Linked DNA regions of Macaca mulatta. The protein of the gene in region 3 interacts with the protein of the main gene of each other region in a pairwise test. Links are inferred from orthologs where the notes say so. Each region holds a gene or a part of one and is shown on either strand. Other genes may lie near its edges.

Region 1 (4,046 bases), on a different chromosome or scaffold from region 3:
AGGGCCTGGGCATCGAGATCATTGGGACCCTCCAGCTGGTGCTGTGTGTGCTGGCCACTACTGACCGAAGGCGCCGCGACCTTGGTGGCTCAGCCCCCCTTGCCATTGGCCTCTCTGTAGCCCTTGGACACCTCCTGGCTGTGAGTCAGGGGCCCACCCAGATGGTGGGGGCGAAGGGAGGGCAGGGGCTGGTGGGGTGCCCTGCCATGGGCAGCCAGTGGAGCTCCCGGCAGGGCTCTTGCCATTGGGTGGAGGACGGCAGGTCAGTGCTGGGGACTGGGGGGCAGGGTCCTGCCCTGGAGAGGAGCAGAGGGACCTCCTGCCCAGCTTGGGGTCAGCACTCCTCTCTTGCTGGGTCTCATTGTCCCCCACCCTGATTGTTCTCTCTCCCTCCACCCTCTCCCTCCTCTCACTCTCTCTTCACCTGTGACTCTCTGCCTTTGCCTCTCCCTGTCTCTTTCCCTCACAGATTGACTACACCGGCTGTGGGATTAACCCTGCTCGGTCCTTCGGCTCCGCGGTGATCACACACAACTTCAGCAACCACTGGGTAGGCGACCCACAGGCTGCCCCTACTGTGCAGGGAGGTAGGGTGGGAGGCTTTGGTGTCCCATGGTAAGCCTGACCCCACTCTCACAGTGTCCCTTCCTGTCCTGGAGGCTCTAGGAGACAGCCAGGGGACAGGAAATCAGGAAACCGAGGCCTGCCATGTAGAGGCAGGGTGGGGTCACACTGTGAGCAGTTTCAGGCCCAGTCTCTGCCCTCCCAGCTCGGCCCTGCCCCATGCTGCCTGGCCTCCAGGTCATCCCAGTTGTGTGGTTGAAAGTGGGGCTCCAAATCCTGGCTCAGCCACTTTCAGGTTCAGCATGACCTTGCACCGTGTGCTTGAGCCTTGGTTTCCTGAGCTTCGGAGGGGCATATGGTGGTACCCACCTCTCAGGGTGGCCAGGAGGAGGAAAGGGCTCACTCCCTATCTGTAAACTGAGCGCAACACAGAGGAGGCGCTCAGTGGATTTTGTCTCTTATGGTTGTGGATGTGGATGTGCTAGGCCAGCTTTGCATTAGGCAATGGTATCTGGGGCCCTTTCAAAGCTGGAAGCGTGGGGGCAGTGGCCTTCCTCAAGAAGGGGCTGCTACTGCCCATGCCTGAGCTGGGCCATGCAGAGGCAAGGAGGTGCCCTTACCACGTACTCTGGCCTGGGCCAGTTTTGAGGGCACTGGAATCAGGATGTTAGGATTTGGTGCTCCTACCTGCCTCCATCGCAGGTGGGAGAAAACCTGTCCAACGGGGTGGTGGGCTGGGAGGTAACCCAGGGAACGATTTCCAGGGGCTTCTGAGTGGAGCCGTCTCAACGTACCTGCTCTGTTCCTAGATTTTCTGGGTGGGGCCATTCATCGGGGGAGCCCTGGCTGTGCTCATCTACGACTTCATCCTGGCCCCACGCAGCAGTGACTTCACAGACCGCGTGAAGGTGTGGACCAGCGGCCAGGTGGAGGAGTATGACCTGGATGCCGACGACATCAACTCCAGGGTGGAGATGAAGCCCAAATAGAAGGGGTCTGGCCTGGGCATCCACGTAGGGGGCAGGGGCAGGGACGGGCGGAGGGAGGGGAGGGGTGAAATCCATATTGTAGACACTCTGACAAGCTGGCCAAAGTCACTTCCCCAAGATCTGCCAGACCTGCATGGTCAAGCCTCATTTGGGGGTGTTTCTATCTCTTTCTTTCTCTTTCTGTTTCCTGGCCTCAGAGCTTCCTGGGGACCAAGATTTACCAATACATCCACTCCCTTGAAGTCGTGGAGGAGGTGAAAGAAAGGGACCCACCTGCTAGTCGCCCCCTCAGAGTGTGATGGGAGGTGTGCCACAAAGTCCCCCCTTGCCCCAAAGTTGCTCGCCGACTCACCTGCGCAGGTGCCTGGGATTCTACTGTAATTGCTTTGTGCCTTTGGGCATGGCCCTCCTTCTTCTCCTAACATGCACCTTGCTCCCAATGGTGCTTGGAGGGGAGAGATCCCAGGAGGTGCAGTGGAGGGGCAAGCTTTGCTCCTTCAGCTCTGCTTGCTCGCAGGCCCCCGACCCGCTCGGACTTATGGCCTGACCTTGGAATTGTCCCTATCTCAGGGCCTCAGCGACCTCCTTCTGCAAAGTGGCAGGGATCGGCAGAGCTCAATGGGCCTGCAACCCCTAAGTGCAGACACAGTATGGGTCCAGAAGATGTGGTCTAGACCAGGGCTGCTCTTTCCACTTGCCCTGTGTTCTTTCCCCAGGGGCATGCCTGTTGCCACACGCCTCTGTGTACGTGTGTGCAGAGCAGACAGGCTACAAAGCAGAGATCGACAGCCAGCCAGGTAGTTGGAACTTTCTGTTCCCCATGGAGAGGCTTCCCTAGACAGAATAAAGCCATTTAGAGGGTGAAGGAGGAATACCCATGTTATTTCTCTGAGTTTCAGTTGGTCTTTCCATCTATCACTGCATTATCTTGCTCATTCTTTCAGTTCTCTACTCCCTGTCATCAGTGTAGACACAGGTCACCATTATGCTGGCGTATGTTTATCAAAGAGCACTTGAGCTATCTGAAGCCCAAAGCCTGAGAACAGAAAGACCCTGATGCAGGTCAGCCCATGGAGGCAGATGACCTTGCTGGGCCTGGGGGTTTTCCAAGCCCTCAGCTGGTCCTGAGCAGGATGGAGCAAGCTCTTCTCTTGTTCATGAGCTCCTGGTTGGAGGCATTTGAGCAGGTGAGTAACCTGCACAGGCTTGCCGTGTGACCCCTGGCCACAGCCTTCCCTCCGCATTGACCTGGAGGGGAGAGGTCAGCCTTGACGTGATGAGGTTGCTATAGTTGCAGCCCAAGGACAGTTCAGAGATCAGAATCAGCTTTGAAGGCTGAATTCTTCCACTCATCTATCTACATAAGTCCATTCATTTCCACCAGGGCCAGAGCAGCTCCACCACTGTGCACTTAGCCATGATGGCAACAGAAACCAAGAGACACAATTACACAGGTATTTAGAAGCAGAGGGACAACCAGGAGGCCCTTAGCTATCACCAGCGCATCACGACTGCACACTGTCTTCTCCATTCCCTAGCAGGAACTTCTAGCTCATTTAACAGATAAACTGAGGCCCACGGTTTCAGCTAAACAATGATTTGGCCAGGCCTAGTAACCAAGGCCCTGTCTCTGGCTACTCCCTGGACCACAAGGCTGATTCCTCTCATTTCCAGCTTCTCAGTTTCTGCCTGGGCAATGGCCAGGGGCCAGGAGTGGGGAGGGTTTGATGGAGGGGAGAGGGGGCACACCCACCCCCTGCTTGGTTCTAGGCTGCTGCACACCAGGGCCCTGCATCTGTCTGCTCTGCATATATGTCTCTTTGGAGTTGGAATTTCATTATATGTTAAGCAAATAAAGGAAAATGACTTGTAAGGTCCTTCGGGCTTCCTGTAGTTTTTCTTCTTTTGATGCCATGTCCCCACAAATGTTTCTGGATGACTCCACAAGGAAATCAGTCCACTGCTAGAGACCTAGTCTGAGGAGGAGCCACTGCCTCCTCTTCTGCCTTCAAGACCACCAATCTCAGGCGATGGATACAGCCACACCCCCAAAACCCTATCTGAGGGATACAGGGTCCTGCCCCTAGCCGGAGACTTCCAGAGCCCAGTGGGATGACTTTGGAGACCTGGGGTCAGGGAAAAGGGGCAGGCTTCTGATCAGTTTAAATGGAGCGATGGGAGCCATTTCTGATTCCGGAGTATGGACGTGATGGGGGAAAGCAGGCCTGAAGTCTAACAGCCCCCTCATCCCCTCTACCCTCCACAGAGCAGGGCCCAGGGAACACTAGGGATTGTTCCACCTTCCTCCCTCCCTCCACTCACATTTGCAACCCATCTGACCGGGGCTGGGCATCTCAGGGGAGACAGACTCACTCATCAGAGCCCAGTGCAGTTAGGGCTACTTCAGATTGAGACTGGGACCCCAGCTCCTGACCCTTCCGATGTGCACACACACTTAGTAGTGCCTGATAATAGGGAACAGGTATCACCACG
Region 2 (2,349 bases), on a different chromosome or scaffold from region 3:
CGAGACTGCCGGCAACAGGACCCGGAGTGGCAACAAACCTGAGGACTGGCCTGTGTACCAGAAGGTGTGCGGTGGGCGGGGGGCTGCGGATTGGGGGCTGGGATCTGAGGGTGTTGGGGGCCGTCTGGGCTACTGCTCAGCTCTTCCTTCCTCCATTTAGTTCCTTCCCTTGATTCACCTGTCATTTGTACCTTCATCTACTTCTTTGTTAATGTAATTCATTCAAGGAACAGGCAGAACCCTTCCAGGCTGGGACTGGGGGGCTCTCGGTGGTTCTGCATGGTGGGGCGGGATGGTGCAGGGTGGGGTGGTGTGACCGTGTTCTCCCCTTGCAGGGCTGCATGGAGAAGGTGCAGGCGTGGCTGCAGGAGAACCTGGGCATCATCCTCGGCGTGGGCGTGGGCGTGGCTGTCATTGAGGTCTGAGCCCCCTCCCCCAGCCCTTCTCCATCCCTGGTCCTCCTGGGTTGTCTCTGCTCTGCTTTTCTCCTCGGGGAGGTGGTGGCCAAGGGCCCCAGCACCCCATCAGCTTCCAGAGGCCCTCTGGCCTGAGCACTGTCTGGCTGTGTGACCTCAGACAAGGCACTGCACCTCTCTGGGCCTCCCTCTACTGCCTGCATCACAGGGTGGTTGTGAGGCTCAAGTTGAGGATCCACTTAATCCCCATCTAAACCTGGATGGCGGGGCTGGGGCATCTGAGACCAGGACAGCCCAGCCTCCCTGTGACTCTCCGCCTCTCCCCACAGCTCCTGGGGATGGTCCTGTCCATCTGCTTGTGCCGGCACGTCCATTCCGAAGACTACAGCAAGGTCCCCAAGTACTGAGGCAGCTGCTGTCCACACCTCCCTGCCCGGCCCCTGACCTCAGGGCTCCCAGGGGTCTCCCTGGCTCCCTCCTCCAGGCCCGCCTCCCACCTCACTGCAAAGACCCCCTTGCCCACCCTGACTGAAAGTAGGGGGCTTTCTGGGGCCTGGCGATCTCTCCTGGCCTATCCGCTGTCAGCCTTGAGCCCTGGCTGTTCTATGGTTCCTCTGCTCACCGCTCATCAGGGTTCTCTTAGCAACTCAGAGAAAAACGCTCCCCGCAGCGTCCCTGGCGCAGGTGGGCTGGACTTCTACCTGCCCTCAAGGGTGTGTGTATATTGTATAGGGGGCAACTGTATTAAAAATTGGGAGGGGGGGCGTTAGATAAGGCACCCTGGGCTGTCAGGAGACTGCCTACTGGGCGGGTCAACTTATTTCCACTATGACATTTATATCTTTGTTTTTTCACAATTATATTGAAGGCAGTGGGAGAGGGTGGGTTTTACCTGATATTAAGGGGTAGCACCCCTTCCCCAGGCCTGATGCAGGTCCATCTAGACAGCTCAGATTAGCCTGGGCCATGCCCTGGGGACAGGGCTTAGGGGAGCTGGGTCGGAGGGGGTCTGCCTGGGTAACGAGATCTGGCTTGGCCCTGAGCTGCTTAGGGACGGGTGAGTCCTTGGGGGCATGGCACAGAGCTGGCCCTGTGTTTTCCAGGGTCCTGAGCTGTCCAGGGACAGGGAGGAGGAGGATGGCTTCTCCTGGGAGAAGGTGGGCTGGCCTTTCTTGGCAAGCTGTCCTCTGGCCCCTGGGGAGTGGGGTGGGTGAGGCTGTGCCTTGTAGGGGGGAGAGGGGAGGGGGCTCTGTGTGCACCATTCTGTAAAACACACTCAAGATTCTAAGACTATTAAAGAAGATTTATAACAGTCTAGTCTGGAATGGTAGGGATGCTGCTTCCTGGGGCAGGGGAGGACCCAGGGCAGAGGGTGTGAGCAGAGTGGCTGGGTCTGCTGGAGACTGCTGGGCCCCTCACGGCTCTGCCCTCCCCGCAGGCATCTGCCTCTGCAGCCTGAATCTTAGGACGGTGATGGGCCAGGCTCTGATGGGCCTGCCTGCACGGTGGGGTGCCTGGAGTTTGATTTGGTGCTAAGAGAGGTATAGATTGTATCTCTCCATTCCCGCTTCTGAAACTAGGGTATGGATGCCCCCAGAAGGTACACAAAATGTGGGCTGGTGATGGGGGACAGGGGCCACAGGATAAACTTGGTCTCGCTTTCTAGAGCATCATTTTTGCAAAGATTTGTGGAAGGAAGCATTTTCATACTAAAGAAATGTGTTAGAGTAAGATGTGCAGAATTCAGGGGACTTTTTAAAGATGAAATGTGAGACTTTGGGAGGTTGAGGCAGGTGGATCACTTAAGGTCAGGAGTTCGAGTCCAATCCTGGCCAACATGGTGAAACCCCATCTCTCCAAAAAAATACAGAAATTAGCCGAGTATGGTGGTGCACGCCTGTAATCCCAGCTACTCAGGAGGCTCAGGAAGGAG
Region 3 (2,201 bases):
GCCTTCCAGACCCCAGAGGCATACTGCCAGCAGCGGGTGTTCCGCTCACTGGCCTACATGCGGCCACTGAGCATCTGGGCCATGCAGCTAGCCCTGCAACAGCAGCAGCACAAAAAGGCCTCCAGGCCAAAAGTCGAACAGGGCACAGGACTAAGGACAGGGCCTATGTTTGGACCAAAGGAAGCCATGGCAAACGTGAGCCCAGAGTGAACCGTCTGAACTGTGGGAGGAAAGCACTAATAGCCCAGCCTCCAGCCTGGCCTTTCCTCCTTCCCCTCTGAACCTTCTGCAACCCTGAGCCATCAGGACAATCATACCCCTTCCCTTCTCCCCACCCAGTTGTGCCAGTAAATGGGGGTTGAGGGTGACCTAGGCAGCATTAGAATCACTTATTTATTTCTTTCCTCACCCGTTCCCTCACTGCATGAAATGTTCAGGGAGGTCAGTTGATTTCCCCAGGTACATTCATGGGGTGAGACACATGGGTACAAATAAAAGACCCAGAAAGCCAGTAAGTGTGGTGTGTTTGAGCCCTCAGTCCTCCTGATAGGGCATAGGAGCTGCAGCCAGCCCTCGCCCACCCCTTTTTATTTGGACACAGATGGGGAGCCCCACAAGCTCTTGCTGAGACCCCCCCCACATATCCTCATATCTAGCCTGAGTATCTGTCCTGCAAGATGACAGAGGGGCTACCGGTAGGAAGCCATCCCCCCTTCCTTGTGAGATTTGCCTGCAGGGGGAGGATGGGACCTCGGCAGAGAGGCTCTGAGAAGAGGTCAGGGAATGGCCACTCCAGGGGAGGCTCTGCACTGGGAGCCTGAGGCATGTAGTACAGTAGGCAGGAAGAGTTGCCAGGGGCCTGGAGTACGTGGTCTGAGCTGTCCAGCCACTGGTGTGTGCAGTCTTTTGGCACCTCTGACTGCAGGGCAGGCAACTCCAGCTGGTAAGGGTTCTCACTGGGGAGGGCACGAAGCTGGCGGGACAACACTGAGGAGACAAAGAATCTTCAGAGGCCAACCCAGGCCTCTCCCCTTGCCCATGTCTGAGAGCTATCCTTAAGCCTCTTACCTCCATGCTCAGCTGGCAGGCTCCCCCTTGTGTCAGAGGAGTACATAGCAGGTACAAGGAGGAGGCAGAAGGAGACTAGTAGGACCTACAGCAGAGGAAAAAGGAGATGAAGAAGGGCTCTGGATTGCACAACTGTCCCCAGCAACTGAGAAAAGAATTTCTCCCCTCATCACTATCCTCACCAAGATGCAGGTGCTGCTACTGCTCGTTTTGTTTGATATCTCAATCACCATGGCCTGGAGTTTCCTCAGTTGATGCAGAAGGGACCTAGAGGAAGAGAGGGGCCAATGGTGAGCATCCCCTGGCCTAGCACCCTGAGACACAGTGAAACTCCTGTTCAGGCCACCTCCTCCATCTCTGCACTGGATCCTCTCTCTTACTTTTCATTCTATTTTTGCAAACGACTTCTTCCACTCTGGAAAAAATGCCTGAAGTTCCTCATTAAAACAAACAAAAAAAGCAAAAACAAAACAAAACAAACTCTTCCAGGACTTAACCTCCTTTGCAAATATCATCAGTAGTTCCCCATTGTCTGATCAGCTATGCACATAATCCTCACCGGGCATTCTCTACGTTCTCTACCTTCTGTCCCAGCTCACATGTGTTCCAGCCCAAGAGGACTATGCTGGGCTAATCCTCTTGCCTAGGATGCTTTCTCTCTGCCTAGAATGCTTTCCCAACCCAACCCCAGAATCCTATGAAAGCCCATGAGGTCTTTCTTACCCCCTTTCTTTTTCTAGGTACTTAGCTTATTCTCAGTTACTTATAAATATATTCCCCACTACTGTGAGCTTCTTAGAATCAGAGACCTAGTGAAGGCAGCCACCCTGTTAGAAATCAAGTGTAGGGCAGGGGAAAGAGTGAGAAAACATTAAATGAGGAGCGTAGGAAGGGAATGGTTTGGAGGGATACTTACAAATTCTGTTCCTCCAGAAGCTGTACTTTGTTCTGAAGCTCCATATTCTGGGCTGTGTATTTCAAGACCCTGGGGGAAATAACAAAGATATGGGGATATGGCCTGTGTCCTCCCTTCAAAAACCTAACACTTAAAACTGAGTCCCTCTCCCTTTCATACCTGCTCTCTAAACCCCCAACATACACCTTCTTTTTCCTGCGGCTCTCTTGAGCAGATC

What was found. The genes of interacting proteins can lie anywhere in the genome.
Region 1: the proteins of CREB3 (region 3) and AQP1 interact in binary tests that used the Homo sapiens proteins (3 or more experiments, as listed by UniProt). The two-hybrid records come from large-scale screens. The link is inferred for Macaca mulatta from reciprocal best matches to the Homo sapiens genes CREB3 and AQP1.
Region 2: the proteins of CREB3 (region 3) and CD82 interact in a two-hybrid assay, tested with the Homo sapiens proteins (2 studies listed by BioGRID and IntAct). The two-hybrid records come from large-scale screens. The link is inferred for Macaca mulatta from reciprocal best matches to the Homo sapiens genes CREB3 and CD82.

What each region holds. Positions count from the first base shown.
Region 1 is NC_133408.1:97,453,147-97,457,192, reverse strand, and holds the end of AQP1 (aquaporin-1), read left to right. Parts: coding exon 1-140; intron 141-469; coding exon 470-550; intron 551-1,373; coding exon 1,374-1,553; 3' UTR 1,554-3,430; downstream 3,431-4,046. UniProt on the Homo sapiens protein: Forms a water channel that facilitates the transport of water across cell membranes, playing a crucial role in water homeostasis in various tissues.
Region 2 is NC_133419.1:20,973,135-20,975,483, reverse strand, and holds the end of CD82 (CD82 antigen), read left to right. Parts: coding exon 1-64; intron 65-335; coding exon 336-419; intron 420-745; coding exon 746-823; 3' UTR 824-1,733; downstream 1,734-2,349. UniProt on the Homo sapiens protein: Structural component of specialized membrane microdomains known as tetraspanin-enriched microdomains (TERMs), which act as platforms for receptor clustering and signaling.
Region 3 is NC_133420.1:63,959,755-63,961,955, forward strand, and holds the end of CREB3 (cyclic AMP-responsive element-binding protein 3), read right to left. Parts: coding exon 2,144-2,201; intron 2,054-2,143; coding exon 1,985-2,053; intron 1,336-1,984; coding exon 1,251-1,335; intron 1,154-1,250; coding exon 1,069-1,153; intron 988-1,068; coding exon 653-987; 3' UTR 631-652; downstream 1-630. Other genes in the region: GBA2 (non-lysosomal glucosylceramidase), read left to right, coding at 1-210. UniProt on the Homo sapiens protein: Endoplasmic reticulum (ER)-bound sequence-specific transcription factor that directly binds DNA and activates transcription. Plays a role in the unfolded protein response (UPR), promoting cell survival versus ER stress-induced apoptotic cell death.